2 linked regions of the Daphnia pulex genome follow. The protein of the gene in region 1 interacts with the protein of each later gene in a biochemical or structural test. Links are inferred from orthologs where the notes say so. Each region holds a gene or a part of one and is shown on either strand. Other genes may lie near its edges.

Region 1 (4,350 bases):
ACAAGCTGTAGCATGGAAAATTTTACCTTGATCAAATAATTATGCAATTTACCTATTTAAATAAGAGTCAAAACTCCTTAACTACAACGGGACAGCCAAGAGTTTATGACTACTGAAATTGAGTTATGTTGCACACAAGTGGTATAAATTTAGGCACTAACAGTAACTTTTGAGCGACGACAAGAATAGCTATAAAATGATTTACCTGAAGAGCCCTTATTTAGGAAGAATGCATCCGTCTGGCTGATGGCAATGACTGCCATGAGAAGGCAATTGCACAGTAAAACCTGGAAATATCTTAATGTTATGTAACTAAAATTTGATAACAAGTATATTAGTTGCCTACCTTCTTCATTGCTACTACTTGAGAAGAAATACTAGATGTGTTCAAGTCTTCAGCTCAGTTCAGCGTCTGCTTTCAGTCATAAATCTTTTCTCCTTATATACGTCTTCACCAGGTCTTCGCCACTAATGACCACACTGCCTGAAATCTTTCTATTGGTCTTTCTTTCTTTTTTTCTGCGTGTTTGAAACTTCATGACAGTAAAGAATTGGAGGGTGAGAGAGAGCGCGACGATGCGCTTGTTGACTGAGGCTCAATAAGTAAGTGGAGTAGGGCCTTCTTCGATTCAAAAAAGGGCAACAAAAACCTAAGATCGCACTTTTCGGTCCTTTGCTGCGGCACAATCACATCAACAGCGGCAAAAGCAATGAGATTTTAAGGCATTAAACACTTTCGCTTTTTCAATTGTCCGCCTTCGAATGGGGTGTAGTAAGGACATTTCGATTTCTCTTTTTTATGCGCGTTCATGATGAAATGAGAATTCTCATCTTCAACACGACAAACAATTATTTCGACATTCAGTTCGTCGTTTGTTTGTTTGAAAGTCGGCGTCTCCCTCCGAAATGGTTTAATAAATTTGAGTTTGAAGTGAATAGATCATCAACATTCACTGTAAATAGATGCGAGAATCAACCGTTTGTGTCCGAATCAAAATAAATAGTCCATTCAAAATTTAAGCCGTTATCATTGTTTGTTTCTATTGTTTCTTGATGAGAATACGACCGTCAAAAAATTTGACAGACTGCTCATTTCGTCCAACTTTTATTATCATTGAAAAGCTTATCAGGTCATGCTTTCATATTTTATTCAAATTTTCTAGTTTTTTCTGTAATCTTCTTTTTTTAATCATTTATAAGAAAAAACTTAAGAAACTAACAAAACTAACAAAACTTAAAACTAACATTTATAAAACAAAGTTTTATTTTTCTTAAAAACAGAATATCCAAAGTCCAAATACTTGGCAACGTCACATTGCTCTGTTTTGACACAATGGTGTCAGTATTACTGACGTCGTGTCTGTTTTTCTTTTTTCATCATGCCTCAAGAATGGATAACCCTTAGACGAGAAGATATTCGTTTGCGAACTTTTAACGAACACTTCTCTGCCACATTTTTAAGCCCCCTCTTACTTGCTAAAGCCGGTTTCTTCTATGTGGGAGTTGACGATCAAGTTCAATGCGCGTTCTGCAGAGGAGTGGTTAGAGATTGGGAAATAAATGACGACCCAAGAAGAGAGCATCAACGTTTGTTTCCGTCGTGCGCTTTCATATTAGGTTGGTCTGTTAAATTCGGAAATTGCAATATGACATTAATTTGTGGTCCGTTGGTTAGGTTTACCAGTAGGTAATATACCTTTGGGTGAAAATCCATCCACTGTACATCTGAATGTAGAACGAACTGCTTCTCTACCTGTACCTCAGCAGTTGAACATAGGATTTGGAGCTACCAGGCAGTTTACTTCACAATTTAGACCAAATGCCTCACCAGACACTGGTATGACAACCACTAATTACTTCATTATCTATTTGGTTTACAATACAATTTTGTTTCATAGAATTGAGATCTCCAGACAGTATGCAATTGAATGCATTAGTAGGAGAAAATTTGGAAGAGTTGGGCATAACTAAACATAGCGGACCTCGGTATTCCTCATATGCTACTTTGGATGCACGACTTAAAAGTTATAATAACTGGCCTTCCCACCTGAAGCAAACTCCAAGAGCAATGGCTCTATCTGGTTTCTTCCATCTTGGTACAAATAGCACAAAAAATTCTGGTTTTATTTTGTTAATTTAATTTATGGATTTAGGGACCAACGATCATGTCAATTGTTTTCATTGTGGATCGGGCTTAAGAAACTGGGAACCAGAAGACGACCCATGGCTTGAACACGCTCGATGGTTCCCTCAGTGTCGCTTTGTTATGCTGATGAAAGGAGAACAGTACATTAAAGAAGCGACAGAATCCATGTCCAATCATCCTAAAGCCAAGCCTTCCCTGTCGGCATCAGTGGGAAATTCACGTGCCTCACCAAGAGAGGCTTCAGAAGCTGATCTGCGAAGTTTACTAGGAACTCCCATAGTTCAGACTGTTCTAGCAATGGGCGTTGACCTTTCTCGTGTTAGGCAGGCCCTAAAATACCAAATTCGTACTACTGGGCAGCCTTTCAACACAGTTGATTCGCTTCTTGAGGCAGCTATTGAAATTCAGCATCACAGCGAGCATCGCCAGTCGTTGGAAGATGGCAAGTAAGTCTTTTGCGTGTTCACTTCTCAACTCGAATTAGACATTTCATTGATTCCTTTCACCCTTCTTAGCTATGAAGATGTGGACTGGCCGTCAGCTGTACCTTCCTCTTCTCGTCGACGTGTAACATCAACTGGATATACCCTTGTAGAACTTCCCGTTTCTCTAAGTACACCGAGCGATGAACATAGAACAAATACCAATGAGAACGTACCAATTGTACCATTGGTTTCGGAAGTAAGATCTGAAACCCCGCTTTCGCATCGGGAAATGGATACTCTTAGTAAGCCAGAAAATCCTGAAAAAATAAAAGAACAAAGTTGTGCCCTAGAGGTATCAGCTTCATGTGAAACATCCACACAATCCGTCGATAGAAGTAATGTATTAATTTTCAGACATTTTGAAATAATTAATTTGACCAACATTTTATTTGTTGTAGCCCAAATTTTGGAAGAGGAGATTCGTCGCCTGAAAGAAGCTCGTCTCTGCAAAGTATGTCTTGACGAGGAAGTGTCAATTGCATATATTCCTTGTGGACACATTGTGACTTGTGTCCAATGCGCGGCAGGTAAACTACAATATTTTGATCAAATAATGTTACTAAAATTTTAGCGTTTTAATAAATTTTTTTTTTTTTTTAGCTCTCGAACACTGTCCTCTTTGTCGAAAAAATATTAAAGGAACAGTCCGCATCTTCTTGTCTTAAGTAGTTCATTTGGATTCGTCTAAATGAATTGGCGATCGCAAAGACGAACTATAGATATTTTCTGAAGTACAGTTCTAAGTTCTGGAACAACTTAGTACTTGTAAATTTAAAAAATTCCACTGTTAATAAGTATTTAGTATGGATTTTTGTTTATTATTTAAATTCTTGCAAATGTTCTTGCAAACCCACCGGCTTTAGTTTAAAAAATAAACGGAAAGTTATTCAAATCTCAAATAACTCAAGTTCGAAATATTTCAGTGATAGCAAGAAGCTTCTGGTATTCGATGGCCACTTCAACCGTGAAACCGTGAAGGTCTCTTTTCAACCGAAACAGGAAGTTGAATGTTAAAGGTGCGAGTGCGTGTATGGCCAATAGTCAAGTCTTGCGTGTTCACCAAGCATCACGTCCTAGAGTAAGGTCTGTAACATAATTTCAGAACAAAACAAACATTTTAAAAAAAGTTAAGATTCGCAATAACAAAGAACGCGTTCGTTTCGCTGTGTGCATTGCCAGTAGACAAAAACAAGCCTTCATTCCTAAATATCTTATCGATGTGATTAGGCCTACTGTCTCTAACTGTTGAGTGTAACCCACTTGTTAATTTGATATGCGTAGCCACTAACGAATAACGGTATTTGATTTCCAGCAGGCAATGTGTTCTCCCAAGGCGGCGGTTTTCTTCATCCTCCTTGTTCATTCGATCAGGTCGGACAGTCATGGTGACCTCGAAAAATCAAATAGTAAGTTCCTCATTCGTGCATGTACTTACTTCTCTATTATCAAGATGAAATCAGGATGCCATTTGTAATTATATGATATTCATGAACGAATCAGGATTTAAAAGAATCGTTCTCGGCAATGGATCAGCAATTCTTCCTCCTCGGCCATTACCCATTGGAAACTTGTCTAGCAATCATGGAGAGGCAGATTGCTACTTTGTTGGCACTCATTTCTATTGTATTAGTCAATTCCTGGTACTATATAGCCTATAATGAATGAATGAGTGGGATCCTACCGGATGAAAGTTTTAAAGACTTAAAATTTTTAACAAGT
Region 2 (3,871 bases), on another chromosome or scaffold:
TGATGATGATCATATCTTTTGTTGCTAAAAATTGTTGCTAAATAAATATAAATCACAATTATTTTCAACGGATTTTCCGATGTCTTTATAAATTCCGAGAAGAATTTGCATAAAAATTCAGCCGGTTATTGAAAAAAATTTACTTAAGTTGTAATATACAGTAAAAATAAAAACCTTTGGGGAGAGTAGTTAAAAAAAAATTCATTTCGCTGTCGCTGAACGACAGCTTATCAAAAACATGTGATAAAGTTCTATATTAGTTCATACCAACCAGGACTTTTAAAATTGAACTCGTTTTTCGTTTGTAGTAGATTAAAAACTGCTGATACACAAATAAATGACGTCAATGAGCAAATGAGTTGCTAACCAACCGGCAAAACTATTTATCAATGTATGATATGCGCAAGTGCCATACGCAATCTTACTTTCACATCTGTTCCAGCGATCCTAAGCGTCAAAAGTCAAATTCAATCAAATGTTTTACTTATATTAATAAAAATAGTAGCAGATTAGCCATAACATTGCGACGACGCAATCGTCCAATGTAGCGACAATTCTGAACTGACCAGCATTAATAACTGCAAGGTATAAGAGAAAATTTTATTGTATATTCTCTCCTATGCCATACAGACAAGTTTTGCGATGAGGATTACAATGATGAGGCCAAAGTTCTTTTGTTATGCTTACTTCTTTTTTTATGAACAAAGAAAGAGAGGAGAAAGGAAGGAGAGCAACAGAACAGGTATGTGTTATTTCCTAGATCGAGAAGGTAGAGGATGAATGAAAAGAAGATTGGAAGAGCGCGGCAAATGGCCTGCGAAACACGCGCACGCACACACAAAATAATCGAAACGATAATGACACGTTGAAACTGGTTAATGCAAGAACTGGCAAAAAGAACGTATCATCAGTATTTTGCTTTTCCATCTTCTCGTTGAATAATTCCATTGGTTAGTAGCAAGGTGTCATTTAAGAGTGTTTTTTTTTAGCTCTCCTTATTTTATATAAAGGAAATTTTATTTTGCCTGTTTTGCTGTCAATTTGTCTTGCTCACAGAATATTACACCTCCTCTTTTTGATAGGCTCAGGAGGTTCCAGTGCTGCCAAAATGGCTTCGTCAAAGACGTTCTTCAACCCTTTCTGCGAGAGACATAATCCAACAACCATGTTACCTATTTGCGACTATGGAGAAACAGAATTTGCTCGACTTACCTGAGTGAGGGCAGAGCACTCCACGTATTTCACTGCTTTCAGTTCGCGAGCTAGCTTCTCTCCCTGGTCGATAGTGATCACTCTTTGCTTATTTTTTGCCAACTTCTCTACAGTTGCCGCGTCGTCTCGCAGATCGATCTGCGTTCCAACTAACAAGAAAGGTGTCTTCTGACAGTGGTGTGTAATTTCAGGAACCCACTACAAAACAGGAGTGCATTAGTTTGCAGTTTTTTAATGATTGAGCTACTAATATTAACCTTTTCTTTGACATTTTCAAATGACGACGGTGAGACAACAGAAAAACACACCAAGAACACATCAGTCTGTGGATAACTAAGTGGTCTTAATCTGTCATAATCTTCTTGACCTGTTGTCATAAAATTAAGGAAATATTGTTAAGTAACAATGAAAAAAAATATATATAAATGAAGTAGAAAGGAATTCACACCTGCTGTATCAAACAACCCAAGAGTGTAAGGTTCACCTCCAATCATAACAGTGACAGCATAATTGTCAAATACCTAAAAAATGTCAAATAGCTGTTAGAAATAACATCTTGAGAGAGTATCACATGATAGCTTACTGTTGGAACATATTCTGACGGGAACTTGTTGGTGGTGTAAGAAATCAGAAGACAAGTTTTACCCACTGCACCATCCCCCACAACAACACACTTGATGGTCTGCATTGCTCCTTCCTGTCAGACTCTAAAATGAAAGGGAATAGATAACATTAATGAAATGGCTTACACAAAATTAGCAGATCACAACGAGATAAGCGGGCGAAACGAAACTATTCGACAGCCATTTTGATAGATAGGACGCTGGGCGAAAACACACACATAAAAGTGGAGTAAGACTTTGGTTTAAACCGGTCAATGAATAGAACCTCAAATCACTTTATTCACTTACGATCAATATCTTGAAATGTAGTATCAGCACAATTTGCTGAAAAATATTTAATATCCAAAAAAAAGCGGTTGTGGAAGTGACACTTGGAGAATATCAAGGCGTGAACGTCCCTGGTGCAACGTTGCCACTTGTCAGAAAATATTTCAGGACGCCACCGCTTCAACCGCAAGCAGAGCTATAGATACCTGGTCAGTTCATGGCTGTGTTGGCTTCCCTATCCCGGTTTCAGGGTAAACGTAAGCCGATTTTCAGGGGGTTTTAGGGCGGAGCCTGTCAGAAGTTGTGAAGTGGAAACTTTAAAAAGAGCCATCTAGTGATAAGACGTTGAGTTTCAAATAATACTTTCGGCGGCCATTTTTGTGTATTACGTGAAAGAAGCCTAACCATAATTTATGTAAAAATGGTTGGCAGGTGTGCTGTTCCTGGTTGTAAATCAACATATTACAAAGGAAATCAAAAAGAAAATGAGGTTACCCTGTTTGCAATTCCTAAAACTTCATTATCAAAATGGCAAGAAGTAATTCCATGTAGTAATTTGACGAGCACCTCACATATTTGCTCCCGTCATTTTAACGAAAGTGACTTTCAAACAGGGATTGAAATTTTGAACGTGTTCCATCCTTACAAACGGTGGACTCTTAATGCTGGAGCAATGCCCTGGAAACCAAAATTTTCTGTTAAATGTTAAAACCACCAAAGCTGTCCAATCATTGCATTATTTCTTGCCAAAGCTGCAGCCATCGTTCAAGATCCTTCTCACCCAATGTACCGTGCAATCAATAACTTTCTACTGGTATGTTCCTGTTAATTGATTGCAATTTCCTTCTCGTTTAAAACTTAAACGCCATTCCTTTCATTGTTTCTAGGTAAAATCGGCTATGGATGTTACCCAAGTTCCAGAATTTTTCGTCATGCTTCATAACACTGAACTACCTGAACAGAGGTCGCTTCAAAGGAGTTTTTTACTCAGCCTTCTTCAAGATGGCATCAAAAGTCGTCAGGACTATTTAGTGTGTGCTCGAAGAAGAGTCTTTCCAATCCTTCTCTCCTTGCAGCCATCCAATCTATTGTCCGACAAAACTGATAAGGTTATTTTTTTAGTAATTGAATTTTAGTTTGAGATTTCATCGAGACATTTTTCTTTGTTTGATTTACAGCGGCTCATACTTGAAGTCGTACAATCTTCACTTCAGAATTCAATCATTACCTATGACTTGATTCAACATCGTGGCCTTATCATGTGGCTTGACAGCCTCTTGCTGACCGACACCGTTGCAGATGAAGCTAGTCAGATGGTGTCGGTGGTGACGACAATGTGGGACACGCTCTACACTCACATGCTGAAGAAGGGAGAGTCGAAAGAAAAGGACGACGAAGAAGCTATTGCAAAACTTGAACAGGAGGTCGAAATGATGGAAGCCGAAGACGAAGATACCGCCGACAAAACCACTAACAAACCCAAGATGCAGAATGCTAAAATCAGTAGCAGAAAACCTATTTGGAATTTACTTCCTATGCAGCAACAAGTTATTGCTCCCTGGATCATGTGTGAGCTAATGCAGTTGATGGTCAATTTGTGGCATGTACTCTATGAAGCTGAGCCAAACTATGCTACGTTTAACAAATACGCCCGAGTATTATGCTCCGTCGCTTCACACATTCACGAATCCAAAAGCATCATTTAAGCAGCTCAGGAGAAGGATTTGAAGACCGTCCGGTTTGTTACCCCTCCCTGCATGCTGAATGTT

What was found.
Region 2: the proteins of baculoviral IAP repeat-containing protein 7-like (region 1) and cdc42 homolog form a complex in vitro, tested with the Homo sapiens proteins (2 studies listed by BioGRID, with this or other methods). The link is inferred for Daphnia pulex from reciprocal best matches to the Homo sapiens genes BIRC2 and CDC42.

What each region holds. Positions count from the first base shown.
Region 1 is NC_060023.1:3,932,867-3,937,216, forward strand, and holds baculoviral IAP repeat-containing protein 7-like, read left to right. Parts: upstream 1-1,304; 5' UTR 1,305-1,379; coding exon 1,380-1,617; intron 1,618-1,675; coding exon 1,676-1,837; intron 1,838-1,898; coding exon 1,899-2,096; intron 2,097-2,153; coding exon 2,154-2,592; intron 2,593-2,661; coding exon 2,662-3,158; intron 3,159-3,231; coding exon 3,232-3,296; 3' UTR 3,297-3,530; downstream 3,531-4,350. Other genes in the region: loricrin-like, read right to left, coding at 206-287, 347-355; uncharacterized protein LOC124198279, read left to right, coding at 3,950-4,037, 4,132-4,271. UniProt on the Homo sapiens protein: Multi-functional protein which regulates not only caspases and apoptosis, but also modulates inflammatory signaling and immunity, mitogenic kinase signaling, and cell proliferation, as well as cell invasion and metastasis.
Region 2 is NC_060017.1:3,183,624-3,187,494, forward strand, and holds cdc42 homolog, read right to left. Parts: upstream 2,279-3,871; 5' UTR 2,124-2,278; intron 1,920-2,123; 5' UTR 1,901-1,919; coding exon 1,796-1,900; intron 1,734-1,795; coding exon 1,661-1,733; intron 1,580-1,660; coding exon 1,470-1,579; intron 1,411-1,469; coding exon 1,213-1,410; intron 1,141-1,212; coding exon 1,051-1,140; 3' UTR 587-1,050; downstream 1-586. Other genes in the region: nucleolar pre-ribosomal-associated protein 1-like, read left to right, coding at 2,887-2,916, 2,990-3,211, 3,281-3,808. UniProt on the Homo sapiens protein: Plasma membrane-associated small GTPase which cycles between an active GTP-bound and an inactive GDP-bound state. In active state binds to a variety of effector proteins to regulate cellular responses. Involved in epithelial cell polarization processes.